Linked DNA regions of Neodiprion lecontei. The protein of the gene in region 2 purifies or fractionates together with the protein of the main gene of each other region. This does not show direct contact. Links are inferred from orthologs where the notes say so. Each region holds a gene or a part of one and is shown on either strand. Other genes may lie near its edges.

The links.
Region 1: the proteins of RILP-like protein homolog (region 2) and ras-related protein Rab-10 purify together in Homo sapiens (co-immunoprecipitation; 3 studies listed by BioGRID and IntAct, with this or other methods). This does not show direct contact. The link is inferred for Neodiprion lecontei from reciprocal best matches to the Homo sapiens genes RILPL1 and RAB10.

The regions. Positions count from the first base shown.
Region 1 is NC_060261.1:28,617,323-28,632,938, reverse strand, and holds the start of ras-related protein Rab-10, read right to left. Parts: upstream 8,688-15,616; 5' UTR 8,298-8,687; coding exon 8,171-8,297; intron 3,091-8,170; coding exon 3,030-3,090; intron 2,616-3,029; coding exon 2,477-2,615; intron 2,229-2,476; coding exon 2,139-2,228; intron 1,841-2,138; coding exon 1,655-1,840; 3' UTR 1-1,654. Other genes in the region: transmembrane protein 170A, read left to right, coding at 10,706-10,817, 10,913-11,018, 11,135-11,330; uncharacterized protein LOC107225833, read left to right, coding at 14,527-14,573, 14,729-15,155. UniProt on the Homo sapiens protein: The small GTPases Rab are key regulators of intracellular membrane trafficking, from the formation of transport vesicles to their fusion with membranes.
Region 2 is NC_060262.1:28,340,179-28,358,290, reverse strand, and holds RILP-like protein homolog, read right to left. Parts: upstream 11,650-18,112; 5' UTR 11,510-11,649; coding exon 11,210-11,509; intron 10,782-11,209; coding exon 10,640-10,781; intron 10,514-10,639; coding exon 10,386-10,513; intron 10,112-10,385; coding exon 9,741-10,111; coding exon of another isoform or gene 9,697-9,740; intron 9,400-9,696; coding exon 9,373-9,399; intron 7,752-9,372; coding exon 7,674-7,751; intron 7,530-7,673; coding exon of another isoform or gene 7,514-7,529; coding exon 7,415-7,513; intron 7,291-7,414; coding exon 7,167-7,290; 3' UTR 6,773-7,166; downstream 1-6,772. Other genes in the region: microprocessor complex subunit DGCR8, read left to right, coding at 674-1,160, 1,290-1,373, 1,696-2,089, 2,216-2,493, 2,724-3,157, 3,318-3,650; sec1 family domain-containing protein 2, read left to right, coding at 12,514-12,705, 12,871-13,122, 13,275-13,547, 14,069-14,256, 14,467-14,725, 14,804-14,932, 15,072-15,303, 15,418-15,520 and 2 more; DNA repair protein XRCC2, read right to left, coding at 16,275-16,917, 17,001-17,047; GTPase-activating protein and VPS9 domain-containing protein 1, read left to right, coding at 17,046-17,118. UniProt on the Homo sapiens protein: Plays a role in the regulation of cell shape and polarity. Plays a role in cellular protein transport, including protein transport away from primary cilia.

The DNA.
Region 1 (15,616 bases), on a different chromosome or scaffold from region 2:
TGTTTTCATGATTCTTTAATCAATCAATTTCCATTCATTATTCATGCAAAATTTTATTTTAGAAAGCAAAAAATTTTAACAGTACTCATTAAAAATGATTGCACCTCAACTTTTGCAATTGTAAAAATTTTTAAGTTTGTGAAGTTAATATTAGTCAATTTATTGCTGAACTTCTAAATTTTCATAACTTTATTTGGGATTTTCGATTTCATTAAAAATTTATAACATTTGAACTTTAGGTGCATACATGCATCTCGGATAAAAGTTTAAAATTGCGTGTTTCGTTCCCAGAATTCTCGACAAAAGATGACCATGCTTAGTAACGGAACATTGTAAAGCTGTGTTTGGAATCCCGAGAAAAGCGAATGTAAAAATTTTCAACCACGAATCTGCCAAAAAAGCATTATAAACCGGAATTTCTTTAATAAAAAAAAAAAAAAAAAACTTGTTCGTTAAACCTGCGAAATCTGTTAGTTCCGAATGAATCCAAATTTAAGAGAATTATACTTTTATAAAATGGTTTTCTGTTTTGCAGCGTGATAGCAACAAAACTGTTAAGATCGAAAACAAGTAATCATTGACACCGGGTAAAGCCAAACAGAAGATCTCCATATACTCAGAGGCAGAGTTAGGGTATAATTCTAAAAAACAAGGCATGACTTTTCATTAGGTGGTAATTTAAGTATAGCGTGTTTCTTAACACTTAACGGCTGGACGAATTAAAACTATGACTTCATTTATACGACAGTTGTCGTTCGATAGTTATTATTTTGAATATAAGTTTGCTGATACACGCACTTTTACCACTGATTGAATAAAAGCAGTATAGTAAACATCGGAAAAAAAATGACGTCGTATAAACTTAGTCTAAGATTATTTCAACTTGTTGAGAGGTTAGTACAATTGTCAAGTTAACTGGGAAGACTGTAAATGTTCCAGTAAGAATCAAGATATTTTTCCTTCGTTTATTTCTGATTTACTCCATCTTTCAACTTTAATTTGTTCTAAATTTGACTTATTTTGACGTTTTATCAATTTGACCAACAAGCCATGGATCGTAATTTATTTCCAATTGCCCATTGAATAAAGCCGAATATGATTAATTATTCTTAAATATGATTCGAATAGTTCTTCCATAAATATACTAGACTTAATTGATTATTACTTTTGATTGCAGATGATTCTATCAACACTGACTACACATTACATGAAACATAGAAACTTTTAAAACTTGCGAGATGTACAATATTTCTGTGTAGTTTTCAAAATTTCAAATACAATGCGTAAAATATTGTAATGTGTAAATGAATTGATCCTTCAGTTATCTAACTGCTAACCGCGCAGACTTGTTGTAAACTTAGATTCCTTCTTTTTTTCCCGCGACATACGCTACATACATACATATGTACATATCGAATCTCTCTCTCTCTCTCGTTTTCTTGTCACCTTATAGATATAAATAAACTCGATAACTAGTACGAATATTATCATTAACTGACGCGTTACTATATTGTTAATTTAAATTATTATAAAGATAACAATAAAAAATAATAGGTAATTGCTAATTATCATACTAACGAAATAAAGCTGGCAATATTCGTCGATACTCAGCTAATTATGCAAGTTTTATGTAATATAAACTCCTAATATACAGTTAGCAACAGCGATTTGAACTTTTTTCAACTCTACGATCGACCGTTAAACGATCCGGTGCTTCCTGAGGTTCACTACCCGCTGTTTTTTCTAAAATAGCCTCTGCGAGCTCGATAAATGCCCGCTCGATGTTTACGTTTGACTTGGCTGATGTTTCCATGAATTTTATTCCATGCTCTCTACCAATCTGTAACCGATTACAAAACAATTAGCATTTCAATAGAAAAAGTTTTTAAACAGCTAGTCAATTTTATATTGGTAATCAACGGTTTGCTAGATAACTGAATAAAAAAAAATATGTAATCTGAAATGGTAGACACACTTCAGGTCGTGCGTTAGTGACTAGTGGTACCACCATTGCTTGAGTCAAACTTTTGTATAGTTTTGTGCTCACAAATCGATCCGTACATAGTTAAGTGTAGTGATTTTGCGAATAAATTAAGATTAAATGATCAACTATCCTGTAGTTATAAATTGATACTCACTGCCTCGCCTCTTTCCGTACTAACAACGCGCTTTTCATGCATGTCACACTTGTTGCCCAATATCATCTTCTCAACATCCTCATTAGCGTGCTGGTGAAAAAAAATATGTATGAGCATCTGTGTGACAGGTCGACATATGTTAGATATGCAAATCTTCGAGCTTGTATAAAAAAAAGTAATTGATATGCGCGTTTTTTTCTTCTTATTCAGACAGACCTAGCAGATGGGTACGTATAATAATTATATTCTGTGCTGGATAAAATCCTGTTTCAGCGTTTGTCGATTAGCACTGTTTTCCCATGAAGCAGACATTATAGAACGATATTTTCGATACTCACTTCATCAATGTATCTCAGCCATTTGACAATGTTTTCGAAGCTCTTGCCATTGGTAATATCATATATGAGCATGATTCCCATAGCACCTCTGTAGTATGAAGTTGTTATAGTGTGGAATCTTTCCTGACCAGCTGTGTCCCTGAAAGATGTTATTCGTCATACATAAGTGCGTAATGTTCTACTACAAGTAATTTTGTGCTGGCAGATATAGGACAGTCATTTAACTAGAAGTAAACATCCACCTTTGTACTTAGATAATGACATGGAATTTTTTATACACAACTTTCCAGAAAAACATAGACTTCGATGCAATTGGTAGGAAATTTCAAAGAAAACATACATAAATTTTTATAGCGAGTGGGGAAGAAAAATGAGCTCATATCACTTTCTTGACTTTTCCAACTCCCCAAATGGCCAGATTGTTTTCAATATTACACCATTATGTGTAATGGTAACAGACCGAACACTACTGTCTTTTGCATAAGTAAGACATTCTTAAAAAATCGTTGAAAAGCCGACTTTGATGGGCATTTTTTGAAAACAATAAACTTACCATATTTGTAGTTTGATCTTCTTCCCTCTCAATTCCACTGTTTTTATCTTGAAATCAATACCTGAACACGAAAGTTGTTTTATTATTACTATGATTATTGACACTATTAGTATTACATCACATTTAACATGTTTATTATGATTGTAGAAAGTACAGAAAAATGTTAGGAGTAAAAATTAGCAGTAAACTATTATAATAACTTGAGGTAGTATTTGCGTTTTAAAATGTTACCTCCCACAGTACCATAAGATAGAATAAGAGAACTCTACACTAGTGATGAGCGTACTGTTTAATGAGTTTTGAAATCTACGACCTGCCTATAAACGTTGTTAGTCATGGACACGCATTCAGTTAAATCGCTGTTGAAATCACCGTGAATACATTCTCCTTGCACAGTTGCTACAATATTACTTTTCCCTGTTTTTGTTTTTCCGTTTGTAATTTAGAATAGAAATATATTAAGGATCATTTGTTACAACTTCACTACAGATAATCGATGTAGTAATAGCGATATACATATGCATAAATAGACAAGCCAGACCGCAGCGAAGAGAGCCTCAACAACGTTAGAAGCAGATTGTTTTAAACTTTTTTTTGTAGAGTGAAAAATGACAAATACGATCATGAAACTTTTTTCACTGAAAACAGCCAACATCATCAAGTATAAGTAATTTCCTCTGATTGTTATTCGAAAGTCAACGTAAAATAGCTTCTTATCAACATCTTCAGTGCCTTATCTAAGGAAATTACACATGAGTAGTGAATCATGTCCATTACACATTTCTGACTGGTATGAAGATTACCATTTAGGTATTCCACCAAGATAATATTCTCTATATGTGAATGTGTTAAATTAATGTGTTAAAATGGTTTCTGGATTGTTTGGTAAGAAGACATGAAAATAAAATTACAAATCAATTGTACCTTTGTTCATCATGCAGTTCATGGTAATTAAGCATCTGATTGAGACAAGACAGACCGAAACCAAAAAATTTACCAGCAAAGCCAAGACTAACATAAAATAACCACTGTGAACAAGGACTTAATCAGTTTGGATGTTGTGTTTTCTACAAGTAATTATTCAAGTTTTCGGTACGTAAAAGTACATAATAAAATCTGAGGGACATGAAATTATCTTGTGATGGTTCCGAACAAGTAGACGTTGGCTGTGAAAAACGCATGACTAAAAACCTGACGGTAATTTGCCATTGATTAGGTACAAAAGTAGCCACGGGCAAAGCAATATGGTACCGAGAAGTAAGCTATCACTAGATCATTTCAGGTGAATTATTTGAATAAAAAGATGCAGAAAACTTTGTGCAAGGCAATCTTATGTTTTGTTATGTTGAGTTAGTGCAGTGTAACAAATAGTTTGGCGACTGTTTTAAAATTAAATACAGCATAGTTAGAGCAGTACATTTAAATTTTGTGTTACCAAGTATCACAGTCCGACATTTCCATTGTTAATAGAAACTGGTTTGTTTTTAATAATAAGTGCATGCGTCAATTTTTATCTTTGTCATCTACTTCGACAACTGTCTTCCATTAAATATTAACAGATACGAAAAATTGAACAGCCTAGGTAGAGTGAATTGAGACCATAGCAGGGAGAATTTTTCAATATTTATATTCCACCATTGATCTACTGATTTTAAATGCCTGATGATTTTTTGATATATTTGGATAACCTGTATAATATTATTCTATCAGCGAGACTACAGGCCAAAGATTGAAAAATACACACCAGAGGAGATGCTTCTGCCGAGAGATATAATCTGTCTATCTAATTGAATGTTCAGATCTATCTACAACTTGAAAGAAAATTAAAAATGAAATATAAACATGATTAATTAACAAGAAAAAAAAAAAAAAAAACATAACAATAAAAAATAAACCCCATTGCCGAAACTGAATTCCAGGATGTGAAAAACTTTTAAAACAATTACCTGAGCATCTTTCCAAGTTAAGGAATAGATCGCACAGCAACGCCAATGGCAGTGGGGTGCCATTTGGAGGAATGCGCGGTCAATAACTCAGTCCCGGATCAACCAGGTAATGCGGCAGGAGCATCTCTGCAATCCAGTTGTCGACGGTACAGGCTATGTACAGCCTTCCACAGCTTTCCCGCAGGAAGACGATTGGATACTACCGTGGGCCTAACGTGACAAGGGCCTAATTAAATTTAATAACGTTCGAGCGACCCGAGAAATTTGGAAGACCGATTGAAAGGGACAGACGTCCGTCACGCGTGTCCACAAATGTGGAAAATGCTACTGACTGACGGAGGAGGGACATAGGTAAAGGATTAGCGACAAGACTAGCAAGGAAAGATATATCAAGTTCTCTAAAACAAACTTTCACTACCTTCTACTACCTGTCCCGCTATGTAATTTATCCTGCAATCGACCAAAATTTTTAAACTTATTTCAATTCCAAACTTGGTCTGAAGACTCTGTTAGTAGTACTCGCAATCACAGCAAGTGATTTAAACAATAGTCATGCAGCCCATGCAAACTCTGTATTCATGAATAAGATTTAGCGCATAGTTTTACAAAAAAATTTTCCATGAAAATGAAATTAAAACATGAAAAAGATGTGTGTATATACTTTCATGTTGTAAAACAGTCTGTTAAAACTCGCATACACAACCAATACTATGCCATTAATATTTAAATACAAGCTTAAGTGCATGTCTACGCTAAGTAAATATTGCAAATGTGTAGTGTTCACATTTTGTGTTGATTTGTAATGATTTCTGGAAAACGTACATTGCACAGGGTGACCTGAGACTATCGCTCCATAGGCTATCTATGTATTTCTCATGAAAATCTGCAGCTGGCACATTTGTTTTTTTTTTCATTTCTCATGAGAAATTTATTATTTGTAAATTACAGCCGTGTGAAGTTGGCCAATTCAGTAGCGTCTGATGGCTCACAATAGCACTGGCGGATTGTCATTTGACTGTCATTCGCTGACCTGCTGTCTTGTTCACAAACAAGAACTTTTTTACCAAAATTAAATAATGTTTTTGTCGCAGGTTTTCGCAAGAAACACAATAATAGCCTATGGGGCGATAGTCCTGGGCCACCCTGTGTACAGGATTTGAGATTGTGAAGATTCAGCAACTAGGTACCAAAACAAATAACAGCTAATAGCAATAATCAACTGATAGTTGCAACTGGTTTCAAAGGATTCCTAATCTCTATTTTGAACGAAGTTCTTGACAAGCTCATTCTGATACGCATGGAGGTAACAGTTTTTATTTCAATCTGACATTACTTGCTGCGAACTGAAACTTGAGTTATACGTTTCTCAACCATATCGCATTCATTTAAAAATTGGTTTATTTGATATCATTGTAATTGAATATTATGTATCAGAAGTTTCGATTGAGCAAACTTGATCGAAAACTCGTAACTATCACCAATACTAAATTCCAATAATCGACAAATAAATTATCGGTATTAAGTTCATAATTTTTTGCTTACCAGGTTTCAATAACCTACAAAGAACTACTTACTGAAATTCAGTATCAAAGTTTTTGATCAAGCCTGATCGATCGACACTTTAGGTATGTATAGTATTCCTCGCCAAATATATATTGTTCTGCTCGTAATACGTACGATATCTTGACAGTTCAAAATGTTTTTTCATGGTATATATACTGAAATTAGTATTATAGTAGTACAGACTTACAATAGTAGTAACAATAGTAGTAAAACAAGAGATACTATCAATGTTCACATACAATTGATACTAAAGACAATGACGCATGAGCTTTCACTGAAACAATGAATAACAGATACCAAAATGAAGCGAAAGGCAGAGGTACTCGACATCGAGTGCCTCATTCATTATTTCTAATCTATAGTTGACTCAGAGTGTAATCCATGCGTCATGCCTGTAGTGATACCTCCCTTAACACGATTTTAATATGAAATATTATTAAATGTGATAAATAAAATCGTGTCTCCCAAAATACCAGGCCTCAACCACTAGGATCATGGAAGCTATCCCTGCTGTTACTTTCCAAATTAAAAGCAGCCCCCTGATATACATATTGCAAGAAAAATAAACATGAAAATTAAGAATCGGCAGAAAGCTGAGTATTTCACTAACAATGATGATGAGCTAACCACAATATTTTCATATCACAATAGATCGCGCTGTCCAATAGACACTGATTATTTTCCAGCATCAAAAAACAGGTTAACTGATTAACTTCATGATTTTATTTTGTACCAAATGCCAAACTATTCCCAGCAGCTTTGAATCACCTCAGCGGTTAATGAAAATTGGAACGGAGTAAAGCAAGAACCATCTCATTTGTGTACCATTAGTCACAACTAGTAACTCGAAAATGTTTCCGTCACACTTGGAGCCAATTTTTTTAATAACTCGAAATGATCAAAAGTTTCCATCAACAGTCCCATGTTCGACATTGAAAAATTAAAAAAGCTTATCGAAGAAGCTTGATTTATTTTATAATGGAAAGTCCATGTGGGACAGTGTTATTTCCATACAACATTTAGCAATAATTATAGAATCAAAAAAAGTAGTCGTTACAGATTGTCTCTCATCTTATGGTAATGCGGTGAGATTGCAATAAATGAAATACATATGTATAATATAACGAGTTAAATGGAGAAAGTGTCTGCTACAGAATATTCCTCTACTCTTTGGAAGGGTTTACTCGCTCATCTTCAATATATCATATATTATTGATCAATTTAAATGATCTGGCTCGCATAATGAGACTGTACCTCAATAAAAGAAATATCTATTTATAGTCAAAGAATTTCAGTCTCGGGGAACAAAGCATGCAGCAGCTAGACCGCATCCTATGCGTTTTTGTACCAACGTATGTGGTATTAATAATTAACATATTCAAGGATTAATTTGACTAGCAATAATAATATGGCGCGTATAAGTTGCAACATTTTAAAAGATGACGAGTTTTATTGAAGCTATCAGTTCGATACACGTACACTATCGTGCACGCAATGCGTGTTTGTATACGATGAATTTTTTTCAACCTACCAAGTACAAGTCATTTGTTTTTACAACTGTGTCGTCATCGTCGGAAATGAATGTGTAACGCACTTTACATAGATGAGATTAAAGAAGATAATATTCCTTACCTATCGTAGAGAGAAATGTTGTCGTGAAAGCATCGTCCGAAAATCTGAATAAAATACACGTTTTTCCAACACCAGAATCGCCAATCAATAGCAATTTAAATAAAAGGTCGTACGTTTTCTTGGCCATCTCACTCGAAACTCGTGTTTCCTATGTACGTATCCTCTTCCACGGCTGTGTTTAGAGTGAAAACAAGATTTAATTCTAGAAACAACCAATAACACTCGGGTTTTTTCAGATTATTTTTCGTTCTTTTCTTTTTATAGTAGTATATACTGAAGTGTTGCTTCTTTCGATGACCGCAAATTACTCGAATCGCATGGAGATTGCGCGGTCACTCTGGTCACTCCTTGTCTTTTTTTTCCACCACAAGCCGTAGCTATTTTCAGAGTGGTTGCGATGAATTTAACGGAAATAAATCGAACGAACGTCGGATATTATTGGATCGTGCTAACAGGCTACTACGTATCCTACGAACTCATCACTTGTATTAAATTCATCGGTCAGCCCGCGAACAAAAAACCATCTCAAGATGGCTGACACGTGGACGTTAAAGGAGGATCAACTCGACGTGTGCACGGATAGCTGTCGAACCATATTACGTGCTTCCGTCGCAAGCCTGCGCTGCGAGCACTTGGTCCGATAAATTAAGAATTAGATTCAAACTGAATCACGAAAATGAACTAGGACATACTTACAATCAGCAATTTTGGTTGCCAATATCGATTGTGTACTGAAGGACACTAGACGAGCGTGGAAAGACCGCGTAATGGAATTAACATGAGGAACTTGTGGGTATAATCTTTGAGAAAGAACTTGTGTAAGAGTAATGATTTAACATACAACTCACCTTACTTTGCTCAAGCAAGAGTAATGATTTAACATACAACTCACCTTACTTTGCTCAAGACAGGAGTTGTAGTGGGCGGCATGTAATCTTGGTGGAACTGTGAAGACACCGTAGATAAGTCGCGATGTTTTGAAATTATTTAATTGTTGACTTTTAACTTTACCGATATTGGAATATAAGTACATACGTGCAATTTTCTCAGTTACAGGTGTTGATTATGTATTTGATCTCTTTACCAACAGAAGTACTCCATGTAGGTAGGGTTGCCTATAGTACGGCGATAGTCTATGGTCTCCCGGAAAACCTTCTCAGTTTAAAAGTTTTTTTGTGTTTTAATTTTATTGTTTTACAATGGGTTATTCAAAGTTGTAATACCTACCCTCTGGGATTAAATCAAGTTTTGTATGTGCAGTGATATTTGTTAACGAAGTATTGTTTATTTTGCTATACATGTCAATATAATATTTCATTTAATTATTTTTGGAAGAAATATTTTTACAAATACCCAAGTATTTTTGTTATATGCTTTAAACTACTTATGACTACGTAATATCTACTAGTTACACTTTGTACAATGTTTATAGTTTATAGTTTATTTTGTTTTTACTTAAAGGTATGTTTCTTACTAACTAGTGGATTTACACCCATCGACATAGAGAATGGACTGCGAGAGTAGTTCAACAATGTATCTGCCGAATAGAAAGAGACAGATTGCAGTACGGGCACAGAATCCTTACAAAACATATACGGGTCGATTCGTGTCCTCGTTGCGTTATGTCGATGAAGATCTTCAGTCAACAGCGGTCTTTAGAAAGAGACAGGGATTGTCACTAATAATTCTTTATCTTGCTTCCAGAGCGGCGGACATATTCCGTGCATTGCTTAGGTAAGGGAGACATGATCCATTCTCTATGCGGATGCTTATACCGAGGATCGAGGGTCACAGCGTTGACTGAAGTTGACTGAAGAATTCAATGCGCACTTTTGCTGCAAATCCAATATCGTTTTTCCCGCGTCGCAGCTGCTCCCCACTCTTTTGATCGCGCGACGGAAAAAGAACAGCCCAGACTATGTCTGTCCTTCGGTCTTAGCTTCAGTGGCCTGTAAGACCGCGCAGTCTCAACTCTTTATAAGTCTATGGTACATACGTACCACCACCAAGCAGAGAGCACCAAGTACACGCATTCTCATACAAGTAGACTTTTGACAGATCTCGGTAAAATTTCGAGTCGAGCTTCCGGGAATTTGACAGCCAGATGATCTGACATAAGTAAAAATATAATTCACATGGCATGCTGATCAAGTTACTTAGGTAATAAAATTACTGCTGCCCTTCGCTTTTCAATGAAGTTAATTTAGTACTAAGAAACGCATCTACATATATATGCATATGCATAAAACTGTCACTTCTTGTTCGCTTCTATTTATTATCACTAAAAAATATTACCTGCTTGGGAAAAATCACTGTAATTTTATTGTATCATATATCCAATTGCCCTCTCGATTTTCACACATATCAACGTTTGTTTAACGTTTGAGCATTATTTATTTTGTATCTTGATGTTTTTGTAGACAATGCTGTGTTTGTACCATTAATTACTTTGTGTTTATCTTCCTAGGAGATTTCGCTTCATTATGATGAGACCTCCCTCTGATGGTACTTAATAGCGTCTTTGCTTGCTAGGCGATGCTTCACAAAGTGATTTCAGCTACAGCAATGTCCAATGAGCCAACACCTCTTACTGCAACATCAAATAATGATGAAAATGCACTTTACAATCCACTCAGTTCATTTCTTCGTATGTAATTTCTTCCTAAAATTAATTGGAAATGGTTAATTAGATTTTATGGCACAAACACATTTTGTAATTTGTCATAATGTATTATTTTCCAGAGATGTGGTATCAGATATTTCTCTGGGCATTATTTTCGTCCATATTCGTCCATACCATTGCAGCAGCAATTTGTTTTGCCACATTACGAAAACATAAATATGGAAAGTAAGTACATGGATGTCTTTTGTGTTCTTTGTAGTTTGAAAAACACAGAGCATATAGTTGTATTTGTTGATTTCCATTTTTACCCATGTAAGGCAGGATAATTTTATTTGATCCAGGTTCTTCCCACTGCTAATAATAATAATGGGGGTATTGCTGCCGTTAACATCAGGAATTCTGAGTTCCGCAGCAGTAGCATTTGTCTACCGTGCATCAGGCTATCAGATGCTGCCTTTATATGCTTTACTGTGGGGTATCGGACAAACTGTAATGGCTGCTTGTGTTGGATTCACAAGGATATTAGCTACTTTATAACAGAAGGTTTAAATGAACGATGCCAATATTGTACAGTGAAAATTATGCAGATGAATATCAATAATTAACCAGTAAGAGTCCCACAAAAAGATGGGCATTTTCTTATGTAAGTTTTCTATATAAATGTAATTTTGTGAGAGCTATAATTCATGGTAAGACAGAAATCACTATGCATCGAAATATCCTTTTGATTTCACTTTGAATCACTAAATTTTATACTGATTACTTTGGACAATTAACAAAAGTCTTTCGATATACTAGATACAGTATCTGTAAACATGTATGTATGTACGTCTCCCGTAGTGGATTCTGACCTATCGAAGGTCACTGGTATCGGCTGCTACTATTTGTTCAACCTGCACAGTAGATGACACAGTTGACCTTGAACTGATGAGAATCCATCACAGGAGGTGACATAGAAAGAGAAAATGTGTGTGTTACCAGGTGTAACCATACATCAGGAATTGGTTACATTGAAGATGTTTCTTCATTAACCACTGTTGCATTCTTTAATAGTGTAACATAGTTATCGATATCAGGTGTTCGACGAAGCTCTAGTAAGTAGTATTGACAGACTGAACGTTGTAAATTTCCAAAACACTTATGTAGATAAATACTTAAAATATAAGAAATTGTAAATGTCATAGTATTAGATGATGATGATAAAAGAGTTGCAGATAAATTGTACCTACTATAATGTAGTTTGCTGGCTGCCTGAAGTTCTCTGTTCCTCATACTTTATGTGTAAATCACACATAATGCAGAATAATATTTTTGTGCAATCAATTGATTTTGCAATAATTTTTATAAAATACTGTGTTTTTTCTTCTCTCTGTTACAGACGTCTGTAGGTGTCTACATACGATTTGTAAACCGGGAGTTCCGCGAACAATTCAATGTTTTGTTCCCCCCCATGATCTTCGATTACATCTATAATTTTTCTCTTACCGTTTGAGCTCTAAGAAGCCCTTCGGGCTATTGAAAAGATTCTAGATCAAATTGAACCAAAAACTCTTCAAATTATGCCGAAATAACCAGAAACAAGTTCTTTTCTGCAAAAATTTTCTACACCTTAAACCCTTCAGTTCTTCATATGTGATATAACAATGTCAAATCCTATTTTTCACGAAACTTTATACGAAATGAATTATCAGTATTCATAATTTTGCGATTCATTTAATTTCTTTAGATTAAGTATTTACACATGAACGTGCGCTTATAAAGCGATAAATTATTTCCTACTCTGAAACTAACTTAATTTTGTGTGAAATCAGCAAAGACATGTGATTCTATTTTCTTCTCATATTTTCCTGAAATAAATTCGTATGAATGTTTCAAGCAGTATTGAATTTTTTCAGTGCTTAGTCGAGGCTGAAGGAGAAGATTATTTTAGGAAGGATGAGTATGCAAATGCATCTATTTTATACAAAACATTTTCCTCTAAACTCAATAGTTTAGGTGAAAAATATGATGTAGATTGTAAATTGGTCATTAGGCGGTGCAAAAAATGGAAAAAACGTGCTGCTTTTTTGGTGGTGAAAACGTGTTTCTCGTCATTTGAATATACCTTAAAAATTTTCTTGGTCGAAATCCGTTTGAACAGATTTTCAGTTATGAAAAACACCACACTTACAAACTATTATCAAGATTAATTTCCTCGGCAGCCAGAAGTTTTACCTCAAGGTCCAAGCTTAGTAGAAACAATTACAGATCAAATCAGAGATGATGTAAGGAAATGCATATGACTTCTCGTGGAATGCTAAAAATATTAATTTGACAATACTTTACACAACGTCTGAACTTTACTTTCAATAAATTTTATCCTACGCGCTAACTTTTAGTTCAGGGAGATTTCGTGTTTTGAACAAGGCAGCAATAATTCGTCCCAATACGTGATCAACATAATACGTATAGCGTTAAGTTCAAATTAGGTGGAGGGAAATACGACCTAGATTCAATATCATATCGGGACCCTGGAAATAAATGTTAAGTGTGAAGAACTGAATGCTTTCGAAAATAAATATTAATCTAAAATGTAGCTTAGATAAGACAAGTTACGTTTTTTTGTTTATATAATGTCTATTAATATTAGTGTCTTTCGATTTTAAATAAAGTGGCAATTGGGTTTCTATGGTTAATTCTTATAAACCAATAAACGATCTCTTCATCCAAAATAATCTCAAAAACCTTGGTTCGATTATACCAACAAAAATAAAGCGACTCATCTTTTGGTACGATTATATTAAATAAGTGTTAATCATTCTTAGATTCGCTCCGATTATAGGGTTATACAAGTTTTTAAATTTAAGGGACCCTCAAACATATTACAATATCTGCAGTCAATGCCTCAGCTCCTATTACCAAAAAAACAGAACCCCGCAATTTTTTTACAGATTTATTAGATGCTCAATAAGATATCCTGATGTGTGCCAGAGAAATTAAGTACAAATTTTTGGGTAAAATTTTTTGTAATATTTAAAACGATATAATTTGACGTCATTTTTTTTGTTGGTTTTACAGAAAAATGGTTCCTTCAAAAGTTGTTCGTTGTATTGGCCTTTATAAAATTGGTACATTACTAGTAAACACGGACATCGGTCGTTTTGTTTATATTGCCATTGATTCGGAAAATTTTCAATGACATGTCGCAAAACTCATTCGACGTTTAGAACAATCTTTCTCGAATTATTAGTCTCAAGTTACCGCGCTACGTCACATAGTTGAGCAATAAAGTGAACAATAAGCGACCTACGCAAATCCATATTGCTTTGATAACTATCGGCAGATTTATCCTATGTTGTGCAAAAAAATCATGGTGCTAGTTTACAGCTTCCAGTACCTATTTTCATACTGTAACACCTAGGAGTAACTTTAAAAAGAAGATAGCTGTTTTTTGAAGATCTAAAATTTCAGTGCATACGCAAATGTAAATAACTTTGTTTATTTTCAAATTATTCAGACATTTTTCAAGTTTCTGATTACTCTTTCGATACATATAATTTAATTAAAAAAAAAGAACATTGCAATGACTTGATCAGAACCGGAGATATGGGCGTAATTACCTTTTATCTCTTTTGTTCATATCTCTGGCTGCGGATTAAAGTACTGCGCATGCGTCATTAAAGAGAGAAATAAGAGGTCATTTTCGTCTTTCCACATGCCATGCGTGACCACGCAGCATGCTAAACATTTGTAAATGGCGTTCAAGCGGGATCATCGGAAGCAAGTGCCATGGTTTTCGCTGTAAGTAATGATCACTAGCAAATCTTGGCCTTTCGAAAAACTGGACTTTCCATTCGTCCATTCGTCGGAACGGTTTGAAATTAATTAGCCTTCAAGTGTCCTTTCCGAATTGAACTCGCTGTCAACATAACATAACCCCCAGTTGTACTTTTCAGCACCGAGTGGCACGACGTGTACGAACAAATTTATTCCAACGATACGGTTGAGCAGATTAAAGGCTACAAGAGGCTACTAGTATGGAAAGCGAGGCTTCCGAAATTGCCAGTTGGCGTCGAATGCACGCTGGCTATTATGCAAGTCTGCCTCAGAGACAGGGAAATCACCCCAAAGATTGACAAAGGAGATTTACCGGCTTATTATGAGAATGATCTCTGCCTGATGTACTCAACAACGATCATGAGGTTCCTTAATCACATAACCAACATCGGCGAAACTAAGCAATCTTCCCTTTTTCAAATAGCTAAACAGCTTAATATTCCACGATGGATTGTCAACATACGACACGATGCTGCACACGGCCATGAATTACCATCACTCGATGTATTGCGTATAGCTACAAATATACTACTCGAATGGCTACATGTAAGTTAAATTTTTTGCATATTGTCATACCAAGAAAGGAAGAACACTATGAAATCCATGTCAGTACTTGCCTAAAATTAAAAAAAAAAAGTTATAAACTTAGGATTGGGAATGTGAAATTTAGAAATACTTCCCCTAGGTATATGTGCAAATTAATTTTGTAAAAAAACAACATTTATAATCTACCTAGTTTATAATAATACGTCAACATATTTTTACAGTCTCAAACTGCTTGAAACTGATTCAAATTGTTGAAAAATGTGGCAATTTAGTTGTGGAAGTTTTGGAAAACATTGAACGAATTTAACCATTTTCTATCCGGCTTTTTAGAAGAAGGTTCAGTTATGATTATGAAATTCATTTGTCACATAACTCTAATGGTGGATTCGCCTTGCAGAAACAGTATTCTCTGAGTGCAGGTTCCCCAGTCTTCAGCTAATGAAAGGAATTTTTATTTTGAT
Region 2 (18,112 bases):
GACTTTGGTGTCATTGGTGAAAGTGGTGCAGCCAAACAACACGCTTGAATTGAATCCACATGCAATAATTACAACACAGTAAATGTTATTATTCTGCCTAAGTTATATTATGCATACCTATATATCTATACTCTATATAAATATTTAAAAAAAATTTATCCAACTCTTCTATGGGCGTATGTACATACATACATATATATATAAATCAGTGTGTATATATATATATACGACTAATCAATAAAGCACCCTTATGTCTCATAAATATATATATTACACACATAAATACACATGCACGCACATACAATATATATATATATATAATACATATTGATGAGAAATAAGGGCACTTTATGTAAAATATGATGAATCATTTTCATTTTCATTTTTTCATTAATAGGTATGAAAATTACCATTGTTCATTTACCAAGATTTAGAAATCAATTTTCTGGATATTTTATAACAACCAAATTAGTATTCTTGTAATATTTGTGTTGGATAGATCCAAGGTAGAGCATAATGCAGCTTTGTCTATTTCACTGATTGATCGTTTCGATACTTTCCTTGAACTTAAACATTAATAATTTTGCCACATGCCACAGTTCCGTGTGTACGCTGCATTCACCACCATTATATCACTACTTCATGTCTGTAGCATCTTAATTTGATCTCCTAGCATATTGGGAAACACTTGAAACCTGGCATCATGTCTGACAATGAGAGCCCTCCCAAGATATTGAGATTAGATGAGGAGGTCAGTACTATAGATGCAAATTTGCCAAATATGGAAGAGGGAAAACCTGTGGAATGCCCATTCAAGAATAACCTGGATGTGCAATCAGACGAGGATGACAGCATGAATTTTACAACTGTTCTTAGATCTGATTCAAATTACAACATTAATCGAGAGAATTTCGAACAAGACAGCGATTTCTCGAAACATAGCAGCCAGAATGTACAAAATGGTTATGACCAGAGTAACGACAATGATTCAAATCTTAGTGGACATGATCCTTGTACCAATGATGAATTGAGACATTTTGATGTTCTCGATGATTTGGAAAGACACCCAGATCAAGGTGGCTCTGATTCTGAGACAGAATCAACTGATAGTATGGATTCTGATGTGCCAGATGAAGAAATAGAAGCCATGCTCGAAGAGGGTTAGTTCACAATTTTATTGACTGCCAAGTTTTCACTTAAATGAATGCTTTACATCAGAAGTATCACCTAATGTGAGTCAGAACTGCCACTGTGAATATACATTACTAATATCTAGTTATTTTTTGCAGGTTTGCCTGACGAATTTAAAGGAAAGCGTAGAAAAAAATCAGACGCAATGCCGTACGAGGAAAAAGAAAAATTGGTTTTAGATGGTACGATATTATAATTGAATAAATCTGTTAACATTCATACATCATTGAAGCAAAATTCTAATTACTAAAAGCATACTTAGCTTATTATCAAGGTCATGAAGTAAAAAAAAGTAATGTTTTAAAGAGGCATTGACTATATGTATATCTTTGGAACTTTTCAAAAACTGATGTAACACATCTTGCCTATTTCTCAAGTGTTGTTTCAATCAGCAAGGACTTGATTACTTTGATCCTCTGAAACCTGGATAAGATTTTTCTATTTTCTTTGATCCAAAAGTACTACAAGATTGATATTATATAAAAATGTATGTTAAATTTTCAGAAATTGGTCACAATCACTTTGACGTTCTACCAGAAGGGTGGGTTCAAGTGACCCACAACAGTGGCCTTCCGTTATACTTGCACAAGCAGAGTCGTGTTTGTACATTAGCTAAACCATATTTCCTTGGACCAGGTAGTGTGCGTAAGCATGAAGTACCTGTCAGTGCTGTACCCTGCTTGCAGTACAGAAGAGCATTGCAGGAGGAAGAAAAAGAAGAAGAAAAGAGAAGAAAGGAAAGAGAAAAAGAACCTGCTGCAGAGACGTGTAGCTTACCCAGTGCTAAAATTGAAACTATTCAAGAAAATAGGGCAGCACATTCTCTAGACAGTGAACAACTCAGAAACTACTGTCAAGCTTTGTTTCGCTTCAAAGCAATTAAAGTCATGAGATTTCAGTACGTCTAAATATTTTCACTCAGCTTTTACTTTACATTCTATTTGGCCAAGATGAAACGTTCAGAAGCAATGGTTGATTTTCATGGATAACAATCTTGAACATGTTCTGAAAATTTGTCATGTAGGTCGTGGTCAGCACGAAGAAAGTTTACAAAGAACAAGAAGCATCGCAAGCAGCTGGAACGGCCCACATTACCTGATGGCACCAAATTAATAACCTTTCCAGTTGGTGGAGCTGGAGTATCTGGGAACAATAGTACAATTGCAGGTGATGATAGTGGGGGACAAAGGCCTCCAAAACACTGGATTATGAATCCGTCTGGAAAAAGTTATGTGTGTATTCTGCATGAATATGTACAACATGCTCTGAAGAAGCAGCCAACTTATAAATTTAAGGAGTTAGGTGAGACCTTTATCTTCTTTTTTATTGGAAGGATCCTCATTTGTCCTGCTGTGAATGATTATTTTTGATTGTTTACGAGGTATTATAAATAAATATCAGCGGTTTATTTGATTGTGAATAAAATATGCTTAAATATGCAAAAGCGGCATATAAATCGAACAGTTTTTCACGTTTCTCAAATAATTTTATCCTGCCAATACACAAATAAAAAGTAAAACATTAATTTGTAGAAAATGCGTCGACGCCATACTCAGCAGTGGTTTGCATAAATGAAATGGAATATGGCAGTGGTTTCGGTAGCAGCAAAAAACAAGCAAAAGCCAATGCAGCCCGCAAAACACTCGAAATCCTAATTCCTCAGATGCGTGATAAGATTTCAGGAGAGTCAGGAGACGGAACTGGAAATAATTCTAATAGGGCTCTCAAGGCTTCACGAGGGACATCGGAGGCTGACCTCTCTTTCTTTGACGAAATTACAATAACTGATCCACGGGTAGCTGAGTTTTGTGCAAAAACGACAGAGCCTTCACCTCATGCAATTTTGATTACTTGTCTACAGAGGAATTTTGGCCTTGGCGATATGCATATAAATTATTCTGTGAATACGTTGAAACACCAACGCAATGAGTTCACAATGCGTGTTGGTAAACATGAAGCTACTGTGGTAAGTAACAAACTGCTTCTAATACATATTTTCTGAAGTTAACAGGCACAATGAAATGGATTGTAACGTAGATTATAGTGTAAGATTTGCAAAAACATATCTTAGTAAATGAATTAGTGGGTTGTGCTGGTTTTTCTTTGAATTAAAATGTTGATTAAAGGTATGTCGAAATAAAAAAGATGGTAAACAACGTGCAGCACAAGCAATCTTGCAACGATTACATCCGCACATACAGTCATGGGGCTCACTGTTAAGATTGTACGGATCACGGAGTGTAAAATCTTTCAAAGAAAAAAAGCAGTTAGAACAGGAAATCACGCTGCTACAGGGTAAGGCTTTGGTAAATCAGCCAAATCATGCAATTTTAGGTAAGCTTAGACAGGAAATGAGAATGTTGGCTGAACAACGAAAGGCCATTCAACCAATAGGTAAATTTCTACCACCAGATTTACCAACCGGTTCTGCTGCTAACTTAAACAATGTTGACTTATAACACTCTAGTCTAATTTAGCATTAATCAATATTCGTAAATAGGAAATAACGCGATGTCAGTAATTGAAAGTAATCAGGTAGAATCATAATTTTTCAACCCCCAGTTGTTTCATAACATAGTGCATTAAGGCACCATATTGGTGCTACTGAACTGAATAAACAATATAGTATATAAATCGATAGATTAACACACTTATACATGTGCATGGGCTTTCCATCCTTATTTTTCCCAACGGTTTGGGTGGTCGCGTGAAGCGTGCAGAGGTAGTTTTGATATAATTTAGACATGTTTTAGGTAGAACTCTCAGATTAAGATACATAAATAATTCATTTCTTTTTCACTATAATGTCTCGAGCCTCGCATTGAATTAAAGAATGTTGCATTCATATTTATATTCAGCTTCATCCAAAAGTATTTGTTATTTTTTCAATGCATTATTGAAACAAGCAGGTTTGGACTGACCATGAATCAAGCTTTGAACTGTTCATTTTCAAACTCATTCGTACTGAAATAATAACAATAATAACAACAATAATCATTAGTTCAAATTTTGGAAGCCCAAAGTAAAATTCGTAATCAGTGACCCAAAAAACCTTTGAGTACGAATTTTCAACAAAATCCTAAATTTCTTTTTTCCCAACACATTGAATATTTAATGCGCCAAATATCAATTTTGCAAATCTGACCTTAGAAAAAATGTTATGGTACCAGTTCTCATTCGTATCCATTCATTCATTCTTAAGGTATCATTTTTATTTTATTGCTGGAATTTTTTAATTTAAACAATTTGATATTGACCAAAAAATCTTATTCACCAGAATTTCTTTGCATCTACTTATGGAGGCACATGTTCTTATTGATATAGTGGCTTGAAACTTTACTGATCTTTTTTCTTAAAATTCGTCGACATCCGAAATAAGGGACATTCTACGTACATACAACCACACACACGCAGATTTTCGTCTGAAAATGATTGGAGTAGAATCTCTAGACTTCAAAACATGAAGATCTTATGAAAACTCATGTTTTCAGTTTTGGGGTGATTACAATGACTTAATAGAAAAACGAGAAGTTATAAAAAGTTACTCCAGTGACATGGAAATGCCCATACATCCTCACATACTGCCAGTCGATAGTTATCAGTTTAAGTAATTGTAAGTTTTGCATCAAGTAATTGGTAATCTTGTCCAGTTACTTGACTTTACTCATCCATAAGACTTGATATAAAATGTATGCGTCAAAAGTGAGATTAAGTCTGTATTGCACTTGTAATAAGTAGTTAACATACCAACTTGTAATTAAAAAAAAAAGAAGCACGTCATCCCTTTTTTTTTAAAACTATCTTTGTTACCAGATCACCCGAGCTATATTGTAAAGCCTTTTTATTACTTCAGCACTACTATCGTGTCAACTGTTGGTTATAATGTCAAGCGGATACAGTAGCACTCATCAAATCAATATATTCTTCAGTACCAGCTTATCGTTGGCGTTATAGATACCAATATTATGTATAAATCGATATGTACTAAAATTGTTCACGATTAGTCTTCAATAATTGCCTTCCATACTACTAGTTTGCTACCTGTAATGCTGCATTAACTTATTGGAGTGTCGTTGAAGAATACTGGCAAGCAGTTTTAGACACATAAATCTATATATTGCGTATTGTTAATTTTTTTAAAACTTTTATTGGTTCAATCCTACAGTAATGTTCATTTTGGCACTCTATAATACAATAAATGTTGAAAACGCAGCGCTGCTAAATTTTTAATACAAAATTTATGCAGAAAAACGTAATCATGTGCATATTGCTATTCAAAGTTGTTTATCAGACTAAGAATTACTCTGCAAAGGAGTTTGTTATATTTTTAATAATTTTTCAAGGAAGTCTTTGTACAATTCGGATTACGGTCATTTCAGCAATATACGGTTACTCTTGGAATTCTACCTTCTCTGATTTTTACCAAAAGAACATTCTTTTTGAAACTTAGGATAGATCATAAAATTTGATTAAATTCGCTCACATTCTCTGAAAAATCGTCGTGGATTAACAAAAGAATTTTTCGTCAAATGCAATATTTTGTAATTAAGTTTTTATCGATTAACTGAATTACGGGAAAAAGTTGTCAAAACGGTAGGATTTCATCAACGGTCGAATTCTGATAGAATCGAGCAAGTTGCGGATTCCGAGAGCGTTTTCCTCAATGGTTTTCATTCGATTAATCAAGTAAAATCAAGTAGATAATGATTGTAGATAGATATATGTATGTGTATATATATATATATCAGTAGTCGCCAATATTAGAAAGACCGTGAGTCAATGTAAAGTGATAAGCTAGACAATTTAAGTGCAACCAGATTAGTGGAACAATCTCATGCAAGCATGTAAAAACAATTGGTCTTCATTATTACCAATATGTTTTAAATTTAAGATTCCCGAGTTATACATTCAGCATCATTTTCGGGCTGATGACAATAATGATTAATCACTGTTGTATCACTAACTGCAATTTGCCATAGACTATATGATACTAGGTATTACACCTTTCAAAAACAAATTTACTTCATTAAATTTCATCAGTGACTGAGTTATTCTAAGCTTGAGCATGTAATCTTTTTTCATGTGTTATAATTTGGATACGATTGCTATAAAGTTTATAAAACCAGAAAATGTAGGATGCTTTATTGGTCTTCTACCCCTGTACGATAAATTCGAAATTATACTACCTATTTTTTACGTGGATCCTGTGTTCTTAATATGTACTTAACATTTCTATGAATACATTGCAATGGACTTCTGTTTAACGTTCGATACTATCAATTCACAAGTACAATGTATTTTGTGGTAGGGCATATGTACATAGGAGTTTTGGTAAATATGAATTAAGAGATTTGATATGTTTTTATATGTGTATGTGTGTCACACACACATATCTAAATGAGGGTGCTGTCAAAATCAATAATAAAAATAAGTCTACTTAGTGTTGATGTAGTAAAATATTTTTTTCGACATTGCAATTTCTGTAAACTCGTAAAAGGAAGCTTTGTTTGATATCATTAAAGATGAATAATTACTTTTATGTTAATGTCCTAATTCACTAGACTTTTTCCGGAATGTTGAATTGAATTTTCAAGCACAGATATGTGTTTAATGCTGATGGTTAATATACATACTTCATAACAGCACTTCTAGTATAATAATATATTTTAACTCGTATTTTCTATTCAGTTGAGATAAATATACATCATTCAATTTTCGAAAGTGATTAGACTTCTCATTTCGAACGATAAAAAAAATGAAACTTGAAATAACAGTTATAGTATATACAAACAGCAAAATAAATGCGATTTCAATCAATTACGACTATTTAAATTAAAAGATTTTCAACAGATTTTCGACATTTGATAGTATGAATCTCGTTATTTAATATCATAAGAAGTTCGTCTAATAATGAGTTGTACATCACGAAGTTCAAATACCATTTTGCATACTCAGTACCATTAATGATTGACTGTTTAAATCGATGTATCACTTGCACCATTGCCAGACAATGCCATTTTGGAGAGACTAGAAAGACTTCTCCTTGGGCTGCTACTGCCTAAAAAACTGCCACTGCTTTCAGAAAATATTTTGCGGAAGCTAGAAAGAAATGGTAGTTAGTACACTTATAAAAGATTAACGCATGCATTGAAAAAATTGGGTAAATGCCCGTTTTTGAAATTTATTTTATATTGATAAACTTCTTCCTATGTAACATGCTTACAATTTGCGAATCCCAGATTCTGATGACTTTTTCCAAGGTGCATCATCTGGCTCGAAGGGTAATGGTCCTTGTACTGGTGCATCTTTGTCATCTTCGGGGCTAATATAAACAAACACTACTTTGATAAAACAATCTCACGTATCAATCAAATTGGTTTATGAGAATATAAAATTCAATGTAAAGGAAGCATTTCGGTAAAAAAAATATAGCCTGAGTTATAGTTTAATATTAGATTAGCATAGCTGAGGAGCAATCTTACGGAGTAACATTAGTCACTGTGGCAGGAGAAGTAGCGATGTAATTCTGTCCTTTACTAAATGGAATCGCGGGTTGCCCACTGCCTCAAGATTGGTGTGCACATGTAGTAAGTGTAGGTCAAATCAAACAGCCATGCGGTTGAAAAGCGTGCAAATTCAAATGATAAACAACGACTTGCTGCATTTGAAACAACTCATTACTGTTTGTTTTAACTTCAAATAGTAGGAATTGACATTTTTTCATGTTGTTCAAATTATATGAGGATTAATGCGAATCTGATTTTTGCAGAACATCTCACAAAATTAATTATAAGCTGTATCCAAAAAAACTGATAACTCATTCCAGTTCTAATGCCCAAGAACATACTGTTAAATTTGATAAAAGCCGCAAGCTGAATTAAGTTGAATTGACTATGGTTTAATATATGTATACTAGACCTGTCTTTAAGAAGGGCAAAATCGAATTTTAATGGTCTTACCCCCCAAATTGGTTCGAAATAATTCAAAAAAAAATCTTCGAATTTTTAAAAAATTTTCCCTCCATATTTACCCACACCTAGGAAGCCTTACTTTTTCCCATAAGAAAAGCATTGGTTTTTTGGTATTTTTAATCGTTTTTTTACCGCTGCCGTAATTATTAGTTAAAAAATCGCAAATTCTCAGAAAATGTTGACAGTTATGTTACCTTGTTATCCAATTTTTTGGAATTCAATACAAGCATTTTTGGGCTAGATCGATCGACTCTTTTCCGCGTTTTTAGAGAATAAAGATGTGATCGATCTAGCCCAAAAATGCTTGTATCGAATTCCAAAGAATTGGACAAAAAGGTAACACACCTGTCAACATTTTCTGAGAATTTGCAATTTTTTAGCTGATAATTACGGCGGTGGTCAAAAAACTATTAAAAATCCCAAAAAACCAATGCTTTTCTTATGGGAAAAGTAAGGCTTCCTAGGCGTGGGTAAATATGGAGGGAAAAATTTTTAAAAATTCGGACATTTTTTTTGAATTATTTCGAACCAATTTGGGGGGTAAGACCATTAAAATTCGATTTTGCCCTCCTTAAGGACAGGTCTAATGTATACATAGTTTTAATACTGGAAAGAAAATCATACCATCTATGGTACGGATTTTAGTATTCACTTTTTATTGGTAAACTATTGGCCTAACTAATAACAAAAGTGACTGGATATCAGAAGGTTTGTGCAAACATTTTACTAAGGAGTTGCAGAATATCAATGGTAAAGGAAACCTTTAACTCCAAATGAGTAAATTGCTCTCAGAAAATTAGAAAATAATATAATCAAGAACATATACTATGTGTAGTTAGAAGTATTGCATGAGGAAAGCTAACAGCAAAATGATAATGATCGTTTATTATTTGACCAGTCTGAAATTAATATCTCATAATGTCATACCGAATTCCATTTTCATTACGGTACATTATTCTTGTAATCTGTATTATCAGCAACCAAACATCAATATCACAGCATGTAATAGTAACTGGATAAACTGATACGTTTCACATCATTGCTTATGGCATTGTTATGTTCAGCAAAAATAAAATTCCATGAGATAAAGTGACTGACTCAAATGAAAAATAACGAACTCTGTTCATATTAAATGAAATAATACAGGAGATGAAACACATAAAATAACAAAATAAAAATAAAAAATAAACTTCATTTAAATTAAAATTACCTATACGGGCTTGCACAACTCAAGGTCCTGGAGTAGTTGAAAATAATATAATATGACCATAATAATTTGGCTATGGTTAGCTGTAAAAAATACTGTCTACATTAAGATACTAAACAGTTGTGTCGAGTATGTCCTGTACATCAGTACTATAAGCTAGGTACTATCTGTAAAATTTTCAATGCGAAGTACCTAGATTTTGAATTACCAATTAATATATATTTTTAAAAAAGTAAATAAAATGAAAAGTAGAGGTCGATGTACGTATTAATAAAAAAAAAACCGAAAGTTAGACTGTTAATTTTTGCTGACGTAAACTTTTTATACAAAATATACGTGCTGTGCTAGATAGCGTTAACATCTCGACGTACGTCTCAGGCTTAGGGCGGTAGAGTTCAAGCTCATCCTCCAGGTCGGAAACTCTAGCTTTTAGTTCATTCCTTTCATGTAAGATTTCTTTGAGTTCAGCAGTGGTAAATCTAGGCCGGTCTGGGTCATCCAAATCGTATACTGCTTTGTTAGCAAAATCAGGAGCTGGCTGGCACTTTGTTAGGTCCTCATTTTCCTTTCTAGCTAGACCAAGACGTGCTCGAAGATTAATTAGTTCTCGATTCTGGTCTTGAAGTTGGGCAAGAAAATCTGCTCGTTCTTCAACAAGTCCTCTAGCTTGCATTTGTGCCTGACGCTGTTTACGTCTTAATTCTCGGCCCACAACGCCTAGTTTTTCAACTTGACCACTCAACTGGATTTTACAAGAAATATATTGAGTTTGAAAATATCAATCAATTATGTTAAGTATAGGTATTGCATCATGATAATATTTTGACTTATTTATTGTAGATTCCAATTGAAATTGGCAAAAAAACTAAAACTTCTGATACTCTGACTTTATTAATCTTTTTGGCATAGCAATTCTTTCTCTTCCAGACCGCTTCGATTCATTCATCGAGTCTTAGTTTTCCTCTGTAAATTATTTTTCAAGTAGTATGGTCAAATTTTATAGCTAGTGAACTTACATTTTCAATTTCCAAAGTTTTTTGAGACAGTTCTCTATCCCTAGCTCGAATTTGGTCCCTTTGTTGATCGATCATGGTTCTTAAACGTTGCAGTACCGCAACATCTACCTCTTGACTAGCAGTGAATGCTGAAACCAAATATGAAAGTAGGTACATAAAGGGGATATTTTTCATACAAGCTTTCATGTTACATTGCTAATTGGTGACATGCAGTGGTACTTCCACAATTAGACAAACAGGGAGGGGGTTAGTACTTTGTTTACCGCTGTCCTCACTGTCGCTACGCGATTCTTGCAAGGCTGTAGCTAGCCGGCGATTCTCGTCTTGTAGTCTAGTTACCATACCCACCAAGTCTCGCGATTCTTGTCGCCAATGATCCTCGATTTGTTCCAATTCCTGTTAATAATTGCAATACATACTGTACCACTTTTAATAAAATAATGCATTGAGTTGTTACAATTTAAAAATTGATAACTGTTTAATGATAACTCAACACACATATCTTCAAGTGACTAATTGTTTGAATAGTTCGATTGCTACCCAAGAATGTTGTAAATTTATGTTTGGAATCCAAATAGTTCTTTGTAAACTGTACGTTTACATGGATAACATGTCCAATTGTTTAATATTTAAATGGTTGATGAAGGACACTTCATTGAGGCGTCATTTAATTATAGTTCTGATTCTACATGTATATACATATATACATATATATATATTAGTTTATGAAAGAAGGATGATAATGATCCAAGGTATACTACTGAATATTTCAAGATAATAATTGTCAACAATAATTTTTTTTCACTTCAATTCAAAACACTAACCTTTTCAAATCTTTGCCTATCCTCTGCCTTTTCAATTTTATCATTCTCCAACTGCGAAATCTTGGATCTGAGCTCTTGAACAGTAGTATTTTCACGTTCATTTTTAGTCGCTAATCGTTCCAAGAGCTCTAACGCGTTGATGACTTTTGGCATAAGACTAGTTACAGAATCCGCCCCGAAAACATCTATCAATTTTTCACACTCCTTTCCAATTTCCGAAGCGATATCGTACACGTCCACCACGGACACGTCCGCCTCGTATTCTTCCATTTCTGAATGCATTATTAAATGAAAAGGCATTAATTACACTTGTTAATTAGCCTCTTTATTTATATATGCAACAGAAAATATTCAACTGCCGACACAAATCCATACACAGGGTCTGTATCACTTTTTTAATACGCAGTCCAGAGCCAGTCACTCCGTATGGGCTGCGGCTGGTTGACAGCCGAGTGTGTCCGATATATATATGTCATGTATGTGTGTGCGTCATGTCGGTGCTTCGTGTATGCTTACACAAGTAAAAACCTACGACACGCATACCTATGTGTACGTTCCCGTCACTTAATAACGTGTAATGACAAATCTGATAAAATTCTCGCAGTAGTCGTGCGAACTGCGAAAACGTCGGTATGCATGTATGTATGCACAATAATGATGTACCCTAAAGAGTAGGGAGTTATTTTAAAGTTAACGGCATGGGCATCGCCTCAATTCAAAGTTAAATCGTTGAACATAGAATGGGTTGTTCCATCAATTAGGGTAAAATTTTATTTCTGTAGTAGATGTCTGATGCTTCAAACAAACTGCTGTGCTAGAGATTCACCTAGAATGTAGAGCATTAAATTTCATCGAAACCGAAAGACTCGTCACGCAAATTTATCGAATGCCGAGGCACGCAGGGCACCGGATACTTCCCTGTGACTCCGTGTCCGCCTAGGGGATTCGGTCACGTTTAAGAACCAGAAAGTGATATTCAAAGATTGTTCGGAACTGGAATCAGTTGAGACCCTCTGGTTCGGAACCTAATTATTCAACAACCCTCCTAGGGATTCCCAATTGCCAAAACAACCCGAGGTGTCAGGCTAGATCACGCTGTCGTCTGCTAACGTTTTGTCATGCTGACATGAATGGTAGGTAAGAAAAGAAATATCGTCAGCGATACGTGTCATTAGTTATTTTGTATGTTTATTTTCAGGAGACAAACAGCGAAAGGAAGGTGCTGTGAATTATATAGAAGAAGATACAACTGTTAAAACTGTCCATAGTAATACCTAGGCTCGCGAAATTTTTCGTCTCTTCAAATGGATAACAAAGTTAAATATTTTACGGACAATTGTTGGAAGGATGTTTTCCAACATGTCAACAATGCTGTTTTTTATATCGATAAAGCAGCGGTGGAATGCTTACATTGGTACACAGGTGACAATACAATTAAGCAATTGCAATATGCTGGAGTAATTGCTGTTCGTGAGTTATTGATGGACAACTTCCGAGTAAGATTTTTGCTAGTTTAATTCTGATATTTTTTTAAAATAGTGATGAAAAAATCATTTTTCACACAGATTTGGTAGCTTGTGTTTTTATTTAAGTTGTTAATTAAATATTTCGCATTTTCTTATTATTTTATACAAGCCATTCTGTTTTTTACATATATTCAGGGCGCTGAAGTCGAGAAGGCAAGAAAAGCAGTTTTTGTATACACCTCTGCAAATTCTGATTTCTATCGACATACATTAGAAACAATTATCGATCTGAACAGATTCGAAGAATGCACTGTCATATGTGCTGCACACAGCAGTGTCTTGAAATATAGTTCTGATTCTAAGTCGGCTGATATTGACAGTTACGATTGTCTCAAACATGATATAATCAGATGGATGAGCTCAAGATTAGAAGAGGAATTCGATCAGGTAAACTTATCCATTTATCCAATTATGTACACAGAATGCAGAACTAAATGAATTTCCTGATGAAACTATCAATCTTTGTACCAGAAAATATTTGATGGATTTCTTACTCTTTGAATTTCTCTCTAAATCCTAAACTTTGAATTTATTCACAGGAGCCTGTTGTCAACATAATGTTCCGCCCAATTTTCATAGCATCTATTAATGAAAATTTATTTGTGACTCCTCCATTTTGGAAAATAATGCCACCATTTAGTACTGAAGATCATTGTGATGAATTCAATGAAAACATCGATCACTTTGTTAGCTCCTTGCACAGCATGTTTACCAATTTCAATCTCCGAGAAGATATCTATTACTGTGGTCAATTGAGTGAGAATGTTGCAGAGAAGCTGGAGAAGTTACCGGCTGCTGTTGACAGACGAAAGGTGAATTTCAAATGTAGACTTCAATAATATCTATTGTGAAATAATTATACAGTCAACCGTTGATTATTCGAATGTCAGTTATCAGAATTGTCCAATATCCGAACAATGATTTGGTTTATCCAAATGTTCGGTTATCTGTACGACTAAGCCTTACATACATTTGATTTCTGCTGGTAGTCTTTACCAATTGGCAAAACTGTGCAAAAACAAAATTTGGTATTGAATTTTACATTTTACTATAAACGAGCTTACGTTGTAAATTAGATAAAAATAAGTATCAAATTTGTCCCAATCAATAGAGGAAATGTACTACTGACATGTTGGTCGGTTTTAAATAAATACATTATATTACTTTGAGCAAATCAGTACTTTTTTTTCGCAATGCAATATTCCAGTTTAGTTATCCGAATGGGTACCTGTCTCCATTAGTTCGAATAATCAACGTTCAACTGTTTTGTTTTTCAGTTTGAATGCTATAATACTAAATCATTAAGAAATTTTAATGCAATTTATTTTCCCAGCGCCTCACAGGCAAAACTACTGGAGTATCTTTTATTCTGGTTGATAGGACTTTGGATCTCTGTGTAGCTTCAAGTCACAATACCGAGTCCTTGTTAGGCAAAATATTAAGTACTTTGCCACGTTTGCCTGGTCATCAGAATGACATTGCAGTGAATATGACAGCATTGGGCCCAGATGAAGATGGTGTGTGAGTATCAAAAGCTGAGTATCACAAATTCATTAGATTAAACTTGCATAAATTCATTATTTGTTGAGCTGCCTTTTAATCTTATGTAAAGTGCCAACTGAGGCCTGAAACCATTCTAAACTAGTGATTCAAACAGTCACTTAAAGGTTTTATAACACCATCACACTCATTGTCAGTTATGAAATAAATACTTCTTCTCTTTATCCTCAGTGAAAATAATCCAAGGTACTCTGCACCAGGGTGCTTAGCCAGCAATGATTCTAATATGATTAATCAATTAATGAAAAATAAACAGAAAGATGTTTTAATAACTCTGCACAAATTACTGTCAGATATATTGCTTGCTAAGGAAAGTCCAAAAACAAGAATTGCCACTAGAATAACAGCTCATAGCTTAGAAAAACTTGTACACAAGTTGAGAAATGTTGATGATTTGAGCCTCATATTAGACTCAAGTAAAAAGCTTCAGGTAATACCAAGTTATGAAATTAATTAAATACAATTCAAATATTTTGCATGTAAAAGAAGTTTCGCTTATTTGTTTTAGCAAATATTAGCAGTGATTCAAGCATTGAAATCAAATAAGACATCTCAAATCGAGTTGATAATAAGTCTTGAAAAACTAATACTACAGAACCTAGCAGTCAGCAGAGACTCGTCAAGTATACTAACTCAAGTAAGGATTGCATGATTTCATTATCTCATTGTACCACAACATTGATTGTATCCACTATAGAAGAATACCTATGAGCGTGACTGTTTTGACTGTACTTTTAATGTCATTTTAATAGTAAAATGTTTTTGTGTTCAAACAGTTAAGTAACATCATAAAGACTCGTGCCACTAGAGGTTTATCGATTGAAAATCTGTTGGGATTATTAGTGTACATATATGCTCTTGCTGGAACAGAAATACATTTTCTTGAACAGCAAGAGAAACAGTTGGAAGAAGCCTTGGCTGAAGCAATATATGAAGATGGTAAACACGATGATAAACTCACTCCAGCTTCAGATAGTCCAATGATGAATCTGTCATCAGAATTGTTTGGTGAGCATTTGACAAGTTGTTATTGTTTGAGAATCATTGTGTCGTAATCCGAGCATTGGCTTAAGTGCCGAATGTTAATAATAGATCAAATGTATTTGAAATCCTATTAACTAGGCAAGCGAATACTAACGGAAGGAACTTCTACACAAATTGCTAATGATATTATGGTAAAGCTTCACAGAATAGCAGAGATGCGAAAATCTTTGCAGAAGTACAAGTGAGTATTTGTATTAACATTGTGTAATTTTTTTGGTGAACATATTCTGAACCCAACTTTAATTTTAATTTTTCTTTCATTAGTGAAAGGGCTTGTTACAATGCAAAACAAAAATGAACAGTAGGTGAATTAAAGAAAAAGTTTTGTTCTTGAATATGTAACCATGTTTGCAGGTCATTAATGCTCAAGCCCAGTCCACAAGAGATGGCTCAATGCATTGGAATATTGCAACAACTGGTAATGGATTTACTTGATCCTGATAGGCCTGAAATTCCAGACCTTCAATGTAAAACGTTCTCTCGTATTACCGCTGGATTTAAGTGAGTATAGCAAATTTTTGAATATGTATACATAGGTATACTCTATACGACAGATGGATTATAATGGGTAATTTTTTCAATTTCTATTTCAGTTTACTTTTAAAGGGTCGAACAAAACAACATCCTCTTGATAACGATTATGTAATAATATATGTATTGGGAGGCGTCGTTGCAGAAGAAATAAAAATCGTTCAGGATATGATTGTATCCAAAAAACCTAGTTCTCAGGTCATAATAGCTGGGTCCAGACTGTTGAGTCCATGTGATGTGACAAATCATATACTTTTGAAACATTCGGGAAGTAAATAACGATTGACACTGTACAATGCTTTCTTTATTTTATTTTAATTGTATATATATAGATATGGTTTTTTTTTCTGATTTATAAGTTTGTTGAAAAGTTATTTTTGGAGTAGGAATACTTTAAATCGTTTCTACCGTTTACTGTAACATGTCCTCCATTCTATACCGTTGTTACTTACAATGTAACTGAGATTTTTGTTATCACTTACGGATTCAACCACAGCTGAAAACTGATTGACATCATGCTGTTTATGAAGTTGTATTTTATAATGAATTTTTTCTTCATTTAGTAAAGAGGTACGAACTACAGCCTCTTTACTTTTTGATTTGACGTCACTGGGTCTGGTATAAAGAAGAATGATTTTGTGACCAAAAGTGTGCTTTTGCATGATGTTCAAGCAGCTCTTCACATATCCGTCCATTGACCAACATTCTCCGTGCTTCCTGTCTTGCCAATAGTAAGACGATATACTATCAATAGCAATCATTGCTATTTTATCATCGTTTGACAGTATACCTTGGAGTGATTGTAAGCTCAAGAAGAATTGACTACTTTCATAACAATTTATAACGGTGAAGTACCTAAGAGAATCTTCAATGATACTCTTAATGCCTTTATCATCAAAGACATCTGTTGTACCTAATTTCCTTGCATCATTGTTGTTACGTATAAAGCAGGCCATTAGATCAACCAGAGTAGGTATGTGAAAATGATGATCTGTATTCACAAGTACAACTCCTGCCTCTCGTCCGTTCAGTTCAATGCCTTTGTACCTGCGCGGCAGGAGACACTTTGCAATTAATTGAGTTATCAAAAGTGTCTTCCCGCTCGACAAGTTGCCAGATACTTCAATCACCTCGTTTGGCCTTGGACCATCAGAGAATAGATCTTTTTCCAGTCCATGAAGAATGGGTCTTTTCATGAGCCGAGCCAGGAGCTGAGCTCCTGTCTCCACATGTATGGACTGTTCCATGGTCAGTACTATTTAGCCTACGGGTAAATTACATTGTCAGGTTGAGGCAAAAAAAAAAAAAGGAAAAATTAACAAGCACTGTTGTAAGAAGATAAAAAAGGTGAAGCAAGTGTCATAGTAAGATTATGTCAAGTACTTCATTGATATGATGATTCAAATCTCAGTAATTCTGCTTAATTTGAAAGGAATTGTTTCATTGATGTCTTTCAAAACGAGCTTCACTGGTATATTGTGAAATGGAATTATATTTCTAAAAAATGCATATTTACATTTGAATCACCCGAAAAAATTAACTCATGGTATAATTTGTTTCTAAACATAATTATCGAATCTCGTAACCGTGTCGTAACCTCTCAAGGTTTATAGAAAATGTATGTTCGAACACGACTAATTTTTATTTCTATCAGCTGTTAATATTTTTTCTCGTTTACATGTGTGATATTCGAGTCTACGCAACTTTCGGTAGTATATTTAACAATTAATAAACGTTCAAAATTAAGAAACCTTGGAAATCGGCTGACAGCATAATTCACATGATGACAAAATGATGCCATAATTTTTTCGTCTGCTGGATAACATACATGCTCACCGTAATATGACATGACTAAGTTTGGGCTGACTACGCACGTATACCAATAGTACATATATCTTTGTTTTTATTGTTGTGAGGGTGAAATGTGCTTGAAATGAAAAACAATATTCATATATTATTGCATCTACAGTGCAAATACTTGGCAGTTACTCATTCATTCGAATTTCCCGCGACTACCATATTAAACTATAGGTTCGATTTAAAGTACCGTGTATACATATAGATCATGATAAGACCGTGATCACGGCATATATTGTAGTTTTGCAAAACGGCCATTTTCAGAAAAAAAATTTTAACCTAAAATAGAAAATGGTTGTGAATCAGTTGGGGGTGTTGCTTTGAAAGGAGGACGGCAATAATAACGCGTTACTTACTGACGACAGTGGCAGACAGGTGTGCTACA